Linked DNA regions of Diceros bicornis minor. Each later gene encodes a partner of the first gene's protein in a complex. Links are inferred from orthologs where the notes say so. Each region holds a gene or a part of one and is shown on either strand. Other genes may lie near its edges.

What was found. The genes of interacting proteins can lie anywhere in the genome.
Region 2: OBSL1 (region 1) and CCDC8 share a complex: the UniProt entries of both Homo sapiens proteins name them as parts of the 3M complex. The link is inferred for Diceros bicornis minor from reciprocal best matches to the Homo sapiens genes OBSL1 and CCDC8.

What each region holds. Positions count from the first base shown.
Region 1 is NC_080776.1:9,826,245-9,833,086, forward strand, and holds the start of OBSL1 (obscurin-like protein 1), read right to left. Parts: upstream 3,008-6,842; 5' UTR 2,717-3,007; coding exon 1,705-2,716; intron 1-1,704. Other genes in the region: INHA (inhibin alpha chain), read left to right, coding at 3,813-4,083, 5,858-6,690. UniProt on the Homo sapiens protein: Core component of the 3M complex, a complex required to regulate microtubule dynamics and genome integrity. It is unclear how the 3M complex regulates microtubules, it could act by controlling the level of a microtubule stabilizer.
Region 2 is NC_080773.1:21,981,499-21,989,085, reverse strand, and holds CCDC8 (coiled-coil domain-containing protein 8), read left to right. Parts: upstream 1-4,574; 5' UTR 4,575-5,255; coding exon 5,256-6,752; 3' UTR 6,753-7,585; downstream 7,586-7,587. UniProt on the Homo sapiens protein: Core component of the 3M complex, a complex required to regulate microtubule dynamics and genome integrity. It is unclear how the 3M complex regulates microtubules, it could act by controlling the level of a microtubule stabilizer.

The DNA.
Region 1 (6,842 bases):
GGACTCCTCCTGGCATCCTGAGCTGCCTAAACCCACATTAGCTCATGCCGTTTGCTTCTCTCCCAGAGCTGGCAGGCACTGTGGAATCACAGAAAAATCACCAGAAGAGAAGATGGCCTAAATTCTTATCTGACCCTGACACTCACTAGCCACATCACCCGAGCAAGGCCATTTTAATGATCCTGGGCCTCCGTTTCCTTACTTGTAAAGTGGGGGAAAGAGATGCACCACATTAGTGATTTTCTTTTTCTTTCTTTACTTTTGCTGAGGAAGATTGGCCCTGAGCTAACATCTGTGCCAATCTTCCTCTATTTTGTATGTGGGTCACTGCCACAGCATGGCCACCGACGAGTGGTGTGGGTCTGTACCCGGGAACTGAACCCAGGCTGCCAAAGTGGAGCACGCCAAACTTAACCACTAGGCCACGGGGCCGGCCCCACATTAGTGATTTTCACACTGTGAAAATCAGTGGTTAAGTTTGGCATGCTCTGCCAGAGGCACCTCACAAATTCTGCAAGGGTCTGAGTGGAATTTCATTTTTAACAACTTTAACCATTTTCAAAATTGCATCTTATAAAAAGAAAGCATAATGACAGAAATGACCAGTGGGTTCACTTGGGCTGCTGGAGAAGCATGTTCATCCTGCAGCTCTGCCCTCCTGCTGGGCTTCTCTCCCAATGGAGTCAGGGTTCAACGCGGCCCGGCCAGTTTGTGCACATCAAACTGTACCAGCGAGGCCACCACGGCACCACAGGTGCCTCGTGCTTGACGGCGTGCCAGGCAGAGCTCAGGAGATTTGCCAACTTTTTCTCCTCTGAGGGAAAAAGCTAGGCAATAACTAGAAAATGTACAATCCCTCGACTTGTGATGAAGTCCTATCATGGAGAGCTTTAACTTCCGGTGTGAGTTTGGGGTGTTCTTTTTTACCCCTGAATTTTCTGTTTACCAGCAACGTAAGCATTTATTAGATATTGCTGGTGACTCAGCTTTGAAACATAAATTTCCTCTCCTTTCTTTTCCTCTTCTTTCAAACCTGAACAGCAGTTTAGTGAAAGAATAGTCAAAAATGCCAGAGTATTTTTCCTCCCTCAAGCTTACCTTTGGGGTGAATCAGGAGTTTCTCAATGTGAGGCCTGCAGGCAGGTGTTTCTCCCCAGGCTCACAGAGGAGAGCCGGTTATGAACACAGCCTCCACTTAAAATGAGTGTAATCAATAAAATAGCCCCCTTGTTCTCACTGGTTGGCTTTAGAGGTATGTGTTATACATTTGGATTTAGAAATTTACACGGATAAAATGTTCCTTTTATCTGTTTTATATATCGGGGCCCCAGATGGGGTTTCCATTGGGGAAGAAGGAGTGAATTAATAAAGAGGTTGAAAACCACTGGAGTAGAAGAGATCTAGGCCCCTCTGGGTTTGTACATCAATCACTCCTTAAAGCCGCTTATCAAGGGTAGTTTTCCACCACTTGCCTCAGAATCACTTGGGGAGGTTTGCTAAGAAGTTCCTGGGTACGCTGGAGACCTGCTAAATCTGAATCCCTGGGGGGTGGGAGGAGGGCTGGAAATTGTATTTTAATAGCCCGTCTCCCCTCCCCCACCGTCTTTTGGGCGGCGCTGGGCACTGAGAGGCGATGGAGTAAGGAGGACCCCGGAGGGCGCTGGAGGGCTCTCCAGGCCCGGGCTGCTGGGGGCGCCGCAGTACCTTTGACGTGCAGCTGCACGGCACTGAGCGTCTGCCCTGCCGAGTTGCGCGCGGCGCACACGTAGAGCCCGCGGTCCTTGGCCTGGCAGTAGAGCACCTTGAGCACGAAGCCGCCGTCGCGGTCGCGGTACATGAGGCGGCGGCGATCGGGGAGCAGCGGGCGGCCCTCCCAGTGCCATTCGATCTCGGGCTCGGGCTTGCCCATCACGTAGCAGCGGAACTTGGCGTGCTTGCCCTCGTTCACCCAGAAGGTCTTGGGCGCACACTTGAGCGGCTCCACCACCGGCGGGGGCGCCTCGTCGGGGTCCTCGGGGGGGCTCTCGGGGGGCTGGTGCACCTGGAGCAGCGCGCCGGCCTGCGCATGGCCGTGCGCGTTGCGGGCGTGGCACACGTACACGCCCGAGTCGGGCAGCCGCGCCGCCAGGATGCGAAGCGCCAGGCTCGCGCCCGGGCCACCCTCGGCGCGGCGCGGCTCGAGCGCGAAGTGGCCGCTGTCCCACACTTCGTCCAGGGCCATCCCGTCCTTCTCCCAGTACAGCGTGGGCGCGGGGAGGCCCCCCACCTGGCACGTCAGCACCACCTCCGCCCCCCGCAGCACCCACTGGGACCGGGGCCCGGTCAGGAACACCGGGGCGCCCTCTCCAGCCCCGGGCGGCGGCAGCGGGCGCTCGGCGGGCTGGGGCTCGGGCTCGGGGGCCGGCGGCTCCAGCACGGTGACGGCGGCCGCCGCGTAGGCCTCCCCGGCCGCGTTGCGGGCGCGGCACACGTAGACCCCCCCATCGGTGGGCCGCGCGCCGCTCAGCAGCAGGCCGTGCTCGGCGCCATCCGCCGGGAAGCTCAGGCGCTCCGAGGCCACCAGCGGCTGCCCGCCCTTCTCCCACACGACGGTGGGCGGCGGCTCCCCCAGCACCACGCACTTGAGCTCGGCCTCGGCGCCACTTACCACCCGCACGGGCCGCGGGAAGCGCAGGAAGCACGGGGGGCTCCCCTGATCCCCCGAGCCCGCCTTCATCGCGCCGGCCGCAGACGGCCCCGCGGCGCGGGGGCAGCGCGGGCGGCCTGCGGGCGCGCGGAGGCCCGGAGCGGCGGCGGGAGCCCGGGAGGCGGGGCGGATCTGGGGACGGGGCGCGGGGAGCCGCCGAGCTCTCCCGGGGCCGCCCGCTCCCGGCTCGCCTCCTTACCCTGGGCCCGGAGCTGCAGCTCTGCGGCGGCGGCGATCCCGGGCCCGGAGCGCGCAGCTCAGGGGGCAGTCCTTCCTGTTTGCCTTTACGGCGAGGGGCCCCGCAGCCTCCCCTGCCCGCGGCCTGGCTTCCTGCTCCCGAGAGCCTCCCTTCCCAGCCCCCTCCCCCAGCCTGGGCCTCTTTCCCCTCCTCCTTCCCCCCTCCAGCCGCCAGGTCCCCAGCCGCCCGCCAGGCTTGGGCCTGAGTGGCAGAGTCGCCTGCAGCTGCCAATCCCAAAAATATTCTCTGATGACACAGCTGGAGGACAAGAGCCCGGGCTGGCTCCTCCAGGCTAAGTATAGAGCAGGCGGGACCACCTGCCCCCCGCCCTAGCCCCAGTTCTAGCCCCAGCCTCAGCCCTTCCCCCAGGACTGGTCCAGCAGCTGCTTGGGTGAAAGGGGCCCCAGAAGGTCTGAGGGGCTGGCACATTCTGTCTTCCCGACAAATAACCCTCTTAGGAGCTGACAGACCCCAGCTGCCAGGCTCCTGTCACACCTGATGTCACCTCTGTGCTGGGTGCTCCGATGTGACTGGCAGTGTGTGTGTGTGTGTGTGTGTGTGTGGAGTGAGTGTGTGTAGGGGGAAGGCTTGTCTGTGTGGGTCAGGTCACTTGGGGTGAAAACCCTCACCAGCCCCCTCCCCCACATTCCTGGCGGGAGTGGGAGATAAGGCTCAGGGCCACAGACATCTGCGTCAGAGATAGGAGGTCTCAATGCCACGGGCAGGGGCAACTCGGACTGCAGGGTGTGGGAAGGGCTGGGGAAGACCCAGGGAGAAGGGTAGAAGAGGGCGGGTGGTGGGATGGGGAGTGGGGAGGCCCTGGGCAGACCCTGACTGAAGGGGCGCAGGGCAGGGAGTGGGGTCACTGTTGGCAGGCCCAGGTGAGCGATGGTGTCCCAGCCGCCACTGCTGTTCCTCTTGCTCCTGGTTCCACAGGCTGGGCATGGCTGCCAGGGGTCACAGCTGGACCGGGAAATTGTCCTGGCCAAGGTGAGGGCCCTGTTCCTGGACGCCTTGGGGCCCCCGGCAGTGATCGGGGAAGGTGGGGATCCTGGAGTCAGGCGTTTGCCCCGAAGACATGCCTTGGGAGGCTCCGTGCGGAGGGCCTCTGAGCCCGAGGAGGAGGATGTATCCCAGGCCATCCTTTTCCCAGCTTCAGGTAACGAGGGCGGGGATCTTGGAGGGCGACTTTGAGAAGCAGCATGGTTCAGTGTGGGCTTGGAAGCCAGGGTGGTCTCACTCAACTGGCTTTGCAACAATGGGCCAGTTACTAAACCTCCCTGACCCTCTGTGTCTTCATCTGTAACATGGGCAATAATGCCTACCTCTCAGGATTAAGTGAGATGGTGTATCTAGAGTGCATGGCACATAGGAGGCATTGGGAGATATTCGTCTGGGAGACCAAAAGTCCCTAGAGACGGAGATATCTGGGCATGAGCCCCCTCTTGCCACCTTCCCTTCTTTCTCTGCCTCTGCTCCCTGCTCCAAACCTTGTTCCTTTAGCCCCAAGTAGCTGAGACTTGAGAGATATCAGAGATGTAGGAGAAAGAGCAGTTGGGAAACTTTTCTGGGAAACCGGTCCATCTTCTCTTGAATTCCCTTCTCATCTCCCTGTGTGTGTCCCCATGTTCCATGGACCGAACCAATAAAGCCCTCCTCTGGATCTACTTTCTTGTAATCTGTCCCACCTTTCCCTTAGAGAGGACCGGCTGCCTCCCTGCTCATCACTCCCCGTGCAGCACAGTCAGTCAAAGTGTGGCTTTGGGATCAGGCAGAGTCCCAGCCTGGCCGCTTAAGTTAAATGTCACTCACCTTTCTAACCCTCAGTTTCCATATCTGCAAAATGGATCGGTTGTTGTGAGGTTTATAATAGATAAAGATAATCCAGGTAACACTATAGCTCTAACCGCCAGTCCTATTGGTGCTGATCCATGATGGTTCACTGTGGTCCATGTACCCATCAGGGTCAGGATGCCAGCTGCACTTTCTTAGAACGTGCTGCCCTCTATCCTGAGCTATAGTCTCTCTTCTCCTCTTTCTTCTTTTTGGTGTTAACCTGTCTTTTTAAAGTGGAATTATTATTTTTTCTAATTAAATTTTTTATTGCAGTAACATTGGGTTATAACATTATATAAATTTCAGGTGTGCATCATTATATTTCAATTTCTGTTTAGACTACATTGTGTTCACCACCAAAATCCTAGTTGCCATCCATTAAAAGTGGAATTATTTTAAAGAATTTATCATGCACTATTTTTTTTTTATTTTGGTGAGGAAGACTAGCCCTGAGCTAACATCCATGCCAATCCTCCTCTTTTTGCTGAGGAAGATTGGCCCTGGGCTAACATCCATGCCCATCTTCCTCTGCTTTATATGGGACGCCGCCACAGCATGGCTTGACAAGCGGGGCATTGGTGCGCGACTGGGATCCGAACCTGTGAACCCTGGGCCGCTGAAGCAGAGCACACGCACTTAACCGCTGCACCACCAGGCCGGCCCCTATCAGGCACTATTTCTAACATGTAAAAAGATATAAAGAGTAACACAACAAATGCCTGTGTACAGACCCTTCAAGGTACCATTTCACACTACCAGATGAAGAAAAATTTAAGTCTAACGAACAATTCCAAGTGTTGGTGAAGGTAGAGAGCGGCAGGGCCTCTGACACACGGCTGATGGGAATATTAATTGGTAAAACCACTTCAGAGAGAAGTTGGCAACATCTTGTATTTTTTAAGTCCTTTAATGATGAGATAATAAATGGGGAGCCTCTGTCAGTTCTCCCAAGACTGGAGGGAGGCCCCAAGTTGGCAGAGCACTCAATGGAGTGGTTGGCAGGCTCATGAACGGCAGCCACATCCCTTCTGTCGAGGAGGAAGGCTCCCCAGTCTGCCAGTCAGGCCTGCCCTCTCCCTTCCCTCTGTCTCCTGTAGGTGCCAGATGTGAGGATATGCCAGCTGCTGGTGAGTGGGCCCAGGAGGCTGAAGAGGGCCTCTTCACGTATGTGTTCCGGCCGTCCCAGCACACACGCAGCCGCCAGGTGACTTCGGCCCAGCTGTGGTTCCACACCGGACTGGACAGGCAGGGCACAGCAGCCTCTAATAGCTCTGGGCCCCTGCTAGGCCTGCTGGCACTGTCATCCGGGAGTCCCATGGCTGTGCCCATGTCACTGGGCCAGGCACCCCCTCGCTGGGCTGTGCTGCACCTGGCCGCCTCGGCCCTTCCTCTGCTGACCCGCCCTGTCCTGGTGCTGCTGCTGCGTTGTCCTCTCTGTTCCTGCTCAGCCCGGCCTGAGGCCACACCCTTCCTGGTGGCCCACACACGGGCCAGGCCGCCCAGTGGAGGGGAGAGAGCCCGGCGCTCGACTCCTCCACTGCCCTGGCCGTGGTCTCCCGCCGCGCTGCGCCTGCTCCAGAGGCCTCCAGAGGAACCGGCTGCCCACGCCAACTGCCACCGAGCGGCTCTCAACATCTCCTTCCAGGAACTGGGCTGGGACCGGTGGATCGTGCACCCTCCCAGTTTCATCTTCCACTATTGTCACGGTGGCTGCGGGCTGCCTGCCCCACCAGACCTGCCCCTGCCGGTCCCTGGGGTTTCCCCCACCCCTGTCCAGCCCCTTTCTTTGGTGCCAGGGGCCCAGGCCTGCTGTGCCTCTCTTCCGGGGACCATGAGACCCCTACGTGTCCGCACCACCTCGGATGGAGGTTACTCCTTCAAGTACGAGATGGTGCCCAACCTTCTCACACAACACTGTGCTTGCATCTAAGAGAGTTCTGCGGGGGGCCAAGCCCCCACCATCAGCTGGGAGGAAGGGCAGAGTTCGGGAGATTGATGGTTTCTACTTCCCCCTTCCTCCCACTTCTCTGCCTGAAGGCTCCTCCCCCGTCCCACCGCTGTCCCATGGGTAACATGTGACAA
Region 2 (7,587 bases), on another chromosome or scaffold:
GATTGGCCCTGAGCTAACATCTGTGCCAGTCTTCCTCTATTTTGTATGTGGGACGCTGCCATGGCAAGGCTTGATGAGCGGTGTGTAAGTCCATGCTCGAGATTCAAACCCACATACCCTGGGCCACCAAAGCGGAGTGCATGAACTTAACCACTACACCATCGGGCCAGCCCAGGGGAGATTTTTTTTTTAATGCAGTACCCCATCCCCCACCCTAAGATGTTCTGATCCTGTAGGTTGGACTCTGGAAACTAATTTCTAGAATTCTCTCCAGTGATTCTAATGTGCAACTGTTTTGAGAATCATGACTTTAGAGAAATGCGCCACGTGAATGAATGAATGAATGAATGATGTCCTCAAATACATGGCTCCTCTAATTGCTGGCTTTGCCTCCATACTCAACAAACAGCCTTCAGATTTGGGATGGGGCGGGGAGGCGGGCAGGGGTGACCCAACTATATGGCAGAGTGTAGACCACAGTGCTGCTTCCTGCTGTATTTGCTGAGGACCTACTGTGTGCTGTCAATTAACCTTCTGGTATCTGGTCCAGAGGTGGGGACAATTTATATCCTGTCCATTCTAGACAGGGATCTGATTTCTGGATGTTGAAGACTGAGGACAAATCTGGTGACTGTGCCAAGGTTACAAGTGTCACCTGGGAGAGAAGACTTCGGGGACTGCCCACCCACCTTGCTCCCCACTCCACCCCACCTCAGGCAACTGGGCAAATAAAGGAGGCTTCCAAGGGTGGGGTTGGAATCTAGGGAACCCGAGTGAGTCAAAGCTTGGCTCTGCCATTTCCTGGCTGTGTGACCTTCTTTGGCCTCAGTGTTTCTCATCCGGAAAATGGGAATAACACTTGCTCAGGAGGGGGTGTATGGATTAAAAGAGAAAATGCACAGGGGCAGGGGCAAAGTAGATGCTCAATAAAAGTGAATTATCATCAGTGTTATGACGTTCCAGGCTTGTGGACACACACAAAGGTGCAAGCTGTCACGGAAAAAGAAAACTGCGATGGATCTGCATGCACTGATTCAGAAAGACTTCAAGACATGCTATTCAGGGAAAAAAGCAAGTTTTCTAGCAATAGATCTAGTGCAAGCCCCTCATTCATTCATCAAATATTTTGAGCACCTACCCATGCTGTTCTAGACGCTGAGAATTCAGCGGTGAGCCAAACCAGACAAATATCTCTGCCTTGGTGGGGCTAATGCTCTAACAGGGAGAGACAATAAATAAATAAGAAAATACCAGGAAGTGATAAGTACTGTGATGAAAATAATTCAGAATGATGTGAAAAATCCCCAGGGGGTAAATTCTAAAGTTACTAAAATATACTAATGTAAGCATTTGTTTTTTCCCTGAGAGATATTTAACTGTGGCTACTTTAGCGGGAGAGGCTGGGGACTTGCCGCTGGGGGAGGGAGACGTTTTTCATTGTACACCTTTCTGTAACTTAAGCATTTTCTTCGCATATGTGTGCATCACTTTTATTATTATTATTATTGTTTAAAATGGCAACCAAGTGGAGCTGGGTAGAGAGATTAGGGCCAAGTTTTGTTTTCTTCCCTCAATCTTTTCTGATTTTTCGTTTCTTTTAAACAAATAGAAAAGCAGGAGGTGTAATTATCGTGGTTTTTTTTTCCTAGGACGGCTAGAGAAAGATCTTGCCCGCCAGCGATCTGGGAATCTCAAACACCCCCAGCGGAACTGCTCAGGGGTTGGCAATTTTTATGAGCATGTTGAACATTTGAGGTTTTCATTTCTAGGATAATCCTTCCTTCTCCCACCAAAAAAAAAAAAATCCTTTTACCAATATCTCATCTGGGAGGTCTTTCCTGCTTGGGAGGTGGTGTCTTTATTTCTCAGACCTGGATTCTTTAGCCAGAATTTCTCAAACGGGTGTCCTAGGGACTTTTAGTTTGGGGCCTCTGCGAAGCAGCTGTTCAGGGAAGCAGATTTTGGGGATCAGGCGGAAGCAAGGGATAAGAAGCCGATAAGAGGCTCTGTCCCGCCCCCGCCCTCCGCCAGCGCCCCGCAGTCTCAGAGAGGACTCGCGCCTAGCAACGCGTCTCCTCGTTGCCATGGAGACGGTTAGGAGGCGGGGCGAGAAACCGCGCATCAGGGAGGGGCCGGGTGGCGGGAGGCCCCGCGGGAGCTGAGTGCGGGGGCTGGGACGGCGCCTTGAGAAGGAGGAGGAGAAAATCCAGTGAAGCCTGACGGCCCAGCTCTGCAAAAACGAAAACAACCCGAATGAGCCGATAATTGTGCAAAGGCCTCCCTGAGGCCTTAACCGCCCCTCACCCCCCAAGCATCTCCCTTCCTTCTTTTCCTCTTTCCCTTCCCTTTCTTTTGTCTCCCATCCCTCTGTCTCTAAACATCTGCCTGGTTCCTTCAGGAGTTAAATAAAACCACACAGCGTGAGTTAAACAAAATTATACGTGTTCATTTTCATCCCTTATATTAAAGTCATCAGTGTACCTGTTTTGTTGTGGTGGTTGGAATTTTTCTTTTAACAGTTGTATTTCACTATAATTGGCATTTAAAAACTACCCTGGAAAGGGCTCATGGCACAGAAAGGGTTAAGGATTCCTGGGCTAGAGGGCCCTGGAGAGGGTGGAGGCCACTCTTTGAGTTTAGCGGGGAAAAGGGAGGCAGAATGACCTCTCTAAAAAGGTGAGATTGGAGCAGAGAGAGATTGCCAAGAGGCGATGCGGCAGAACATTTCTGCGTGGAGGGAACAGCATGTGCAAAGGCCCTGAGGTGGGGGACAAGCCTAGTGTGTTGCAGGAACAGCGAAGACGAGGCAGGTGTGGCTGGAGTGGAGTGAGCGAGGAGAGGAAGAGAGAGGGAAGTGGCGAGATCTTGTAGGGCTTCGTGGACCATGGTGAAGACTTTGGCTTTACTCTGAGTGCGATGGAGGATTTTAAAAAGAGTAGAGACAGATCTGACTTAAGTTTTTGAACGATCCCTCTAGCTGCTGGGTTGGGGATGATGTAAGATGAGAGTGAAGGGCACCTTACCCTCTATCTCTGAGGATTCATAACAACAGGACTGTTCAGCACATCGCAGGATGTCTGGTTCCAAGGAAACCCTCTGTGCAAGTTAACTGTTATTATTACTCTTACTCTTGCCTTTGTTGTTGTTGGTTTTTTTGTGGGGAGATCAGCCCTGTGCTAACATCTGCCAACATCTGCCAATCCTCCAATCCTCCTCCTCTTCCTCTTTTTTTTTTGCGGAGGATGACTGGCCCTGGGCTAACATCCGTGCCCATCTTCCTCTACTTTATATGGGACGCTGCCACAGCATGGCTTGCCAAGCAGTGCGTAGGTGCGCGCCTGGGATCCGGCCCGGGAACCCCGGGCCGCCGCATCGGAGCGGGCGCACTTAACCGCTTGCGCCACCCAGCCGGCCCCTGCCTTTGTTGTTGTGCATGTCTTTGCTGAGCTGGCTGCCTCAGAGTCACCTGGGAAGTTTTGCAAACTCTGGTCCCATGTCTTAGAGATCCTGACCTGCTATATCTGTGGCTGAGTCTGAGGGCTTTTCGTTTAATTTATGTGAATTAACATTTTTGATTGCTAAAAATCCAAGCAATGCAAAAGAATATAGAGTGGAAAGCATATGTCTCTGCCGCCTCTGGGAGTCCGCAGTCCCCTTCCCAGAAACAGCCACTGTGGGCAGTGCCTGTACATGTGACAAGCACATGTGCACACCTAGGCCCTACACACACACACACACACACACACAGACTGTTTCAGATTCAAATCCAGATTCCATCCTCCTTGGCCGTGTGACCTTGAGCAAATGATTTTATATCCTCAGCTATAAAACGGGAAGGATCAACATATTACCTGTCTCATAAGGTTAGGGGGAGGATTTCATGAGTTAATTCATAGAAAGCTCTTAGAATGGTGCCTAGGACATGGAAGTGCCCTGTAAAACATGACTAGCCTTCTTTTTCATAGCTGCGTAGTATTTCACTATCAGATTAGACCATAAAATTGAATCAGCCCCCCCCATGAACAATTAGGTTCATTCATTGGCTCAAAAATATTTATTGAGCACGAACTTGTGCCAAGCCCCACACTAGGGGCTGGTGCACTAAGACCCTGGTACCAATTTCTCCCCCCAAATGTATGGGGTAGGTACATAGGAATTGCGGGTACCAGAAGTCACGCGATTTTAAGTGGTAATATGTAGCGTGTATGGCCTTCAAAAGGACGGCCTTATTAGCACACCCACCTCCGGCGCTTGGCTGGAACCCGCACGTTTAGGGTGGCAGGTTTGGGAAAGGATGAGAAACGACGGTCTGTGTCGGGAAAGGTGCTGACGTGGGCCTCGGAGCGCGTTCCGCTTGGAAGCGGTGGCCCCAGCGAGGTCCGGGGCGCGGCCACACCCCTGTGCGGGAGGGGAGTGAGGGCGCCCCGAAGGGAGTGGACAGCCCCCCTGTCAGTCTTCCCGAGTCAGGAGTGTAAGCTGAGAAGGGGGAAGGTGGGCCTCGTTGGAGAAGGGCGAGGAGGAACTTCCTGCCCGCGCGCGCTCCTCGGCACTGAGCGCGCGGGCTGGGAGGCGGGACGCGCCTGAAGGTCAGCCTGGCCGGGGGTGGCAGCCTGTCTAGGGGCGGGAGACCCTCCTGGGGGCTGGGCTGCGGCCTCCAAGTGCTTCGGCCATATTGAATAGCCAGCCGTCTTTGTCTGCAAAGTCCTCTCCCAAGTTCCAGGCGCGTCCCTGGTGCCCGGGGCAGGAAGAGCCACGGGCAGCCCGTGCGCCCCACCACGTTGGCAGCTCGCGGTGGGCTTGGAGCTCAGGACTGACCTCACCCCGGCTCACGTAAGCGTCCTGGGAATCGATTCCCACCAGCCCTTGGGGGGAGCCAGACTTGGTCAAGACCGGACTGGCTGCAGGCAGAGAAATTGGGAAGTGTTGGTTCATCCCTGGCTGGGGAGGCGAGACTTTCCAGGCTGCTCTGCTGGGACCTCACTCCCACCCCCAAGACTAGGGGCTTCGTGTAGTTTGGGCTCGTGGCCCCCACCCCATATTTCACCCTGGAGATCTTAAAGACCCTCGAGAAGAGCCATGTGGGGGGCTGGTTCCCTTGGGGCTTCCTCCCCTCCCCCGACTGCCTGATTCTCTGGAGCGTCCCCGATGTCTGCAAAGACGTGGATTTGGACGTCCTCGTGGACGCCTTGAAGCCCGTGGGGACCTTTAAGAAGATCGGCAAGGTGTTCCGCAGGGAGGAGGACTCCACAGTGGGGATGCTCCAGATTGGGGAGGACGTGGACTATCTGCTCATCCCCCGGGAGGTCAGGCTGGCCGGGGGCGTCTGGAGGGTCATCTCCAAGCCCGCCACCAAGGAGGCGGAATTCCGGGAGCGGCTGACCCAGTTTCTGGAGGAAGAAGGCCGCACCCTCGAGGACGTGGCCCGCATCATTGAGAAGAGCACCCCGCACCCACCCCAGCCCCCCCCAAAGCCGAAGGAGCCCCGAGGGAGGAGAGTCCAGCAGATGGTGACCCCGCCCCCCAGGCTGGTCGTGGGCACCTACGACAGCAGTAACGCCAGCGACAGCGAGTTCAGTGACTTCGAGACCTCCAGGGACAAGGGTGACCAGGGCCCCAAAAGCCCGGGATGCCGCAGGAGGGTGCGCAGAATGCCCGTCAGCTACCTGGGCAGCAAATTCCTCGGGAGCGACCTGGAGAGCGAGGAGGACGAGGAGCTGGTGGAGGCCTTCCTCCGGCGAGGGGACAAGAAGCCCAGCGCCCCACCACCCCGCCGCCGCGTGGCCCTGCCCGTGCCCGTGTTCGACAACAGCCCGGAGCCCCAGCTGTCCAAGGCGGACAGGTGGCGGGAGTATGTCAGCCAGGTGTCCTGGGGGAACCTGAAGCACAGGGTGAAGTGTTGGGCGCCCAGGTCCAGCCCCGGGGTGGGCGAGGCCCAGCAGGCCTCAGCCAGGGTGGAGAGGGAGGGGGCAGCGGCGCTGGGCAGCGCCCATCACGTGGGGAGCGCGGGAGACGGGCGGGTGCCTGGGACCCCCCCAAGGCGATGGAGGCCCAAGATGAACTGGGCCTCGTTCCGGCGGCGCAGGAGAGAGGCAGCCGCATCCACAGCTCAGGTGGCGGAGGCTGCAGAGGATCAGAGGGCGGAGGCTGCAGATAATCAGAGGGCGGAGGCTGCAGCTAATCAGAGGGCGGGGGCCATAGGTGTCCAGAGAGCAGAGGCCCCAGCTGTCCAGAGGGCAGAGGTTGCAGATAATCAGAGGGCAGGGGCCCCAGCTGTCCAGAGGGCAGAGGTTGCAGATAATCAGAGGGCAGGGGGCCCAGCTGTCCAGAGGGCAGAGGTTGCAGATAATCAGAGGGCAGGGGGCCCAGCTGGCCGGAGGGCAGAGGTTGCAGATAATCAGAGGGCAGGGGCCCCAGCTGTCCAGGGAGCACAGGCTGCATCTAATGGGGCAGAGGCCATAGCTGACCAGAGGGCAGAGGCCCCAGCCATCCAGGAAGCTGAAGCCTCAGCTGCCCGGGGGGCCACGGGGGCAACCTCAGGAGCCAGGACCCGGAAACAGGTCAAGACAGTGAGGTTCCAGACCCCCGGACGCTTTTCATGGTTTCGAAAGCACCGGAGAGCCTTCTGGCACACTCCCCGATTGCCAGCCCTGCCCAAGCGAGTCCCCAGGGCAGGCGAGGCCAGGCACCTCAGGGTGCTGAGGGCCGAGGCCAGAGCAGAAGCAGAGCAGGGAGAACAAGAAGACCAGCTGTGAGGTGAGGGCGGGGGGCCGCGGGGCACCCCACCACCTGCCTCTCGCACGCTTGTCAGAGATGCTCTCTCTGCCTCCACGCTTGAAGATGGAGGTGGGGAGAGGGGCAGACAGCGCCCCTCACATCTCCACCCAACACTCCCCTTTCTTTTCTTGTTCAAGTTTTATCTTTCATGTGTTGATTTTTTAAGTACAGACTCCTGTAGTAATCCAAAGAATGTAAAGAAAGAAACCCACCCAATGGGGTTGCATCGCCCACGTTTTTAACTTCCTCAAATGCAACCCTAGGTGCTCAGCTTGGAAAAGGGACAGAGGTGGGGGAGAAATGCTCCTTGAACTTGGCACAAGCCAACTTGCAAATAAAAACATTTACAAACTGACTTCTTGACTTCGGACCTGGCCACTGAAGAAACCTCCGGGGTGCTTTGGTCACGCCCTGGTGTCGTGTCTACTCCCACTCTCCATGATGCTGACACTCTGCCAGCCATCCCCACGCCCCTGGGTTCTGCCGGCTAGGAGTCTGGGGTCTGCGGTTCACACACCTCACCCGACCCTGATTCCCAGGTACAGAAGAAGCATTCCGGAAACATGTCCAAAATGCAGATTCTGGGGCCCTTCATGCCAGAGCTGTGGATTTGCTTGAGCTGGCTGTGCAGCCCTAGAATCTCTGTTGATCACGCCCCACAAACATCTGGGGCATCTTGGCCCCTGGACATGTTGAAAATCATTGCAATGGGAACAGGCCCCCAAGGCGGGTTGTGGTGTAGCACTGTGTAGGGTCCTGTGACTGGTGCTTGCCATGGGGAGAGATCGGGTTGCTAAGGCCCCGTGGGAGCTG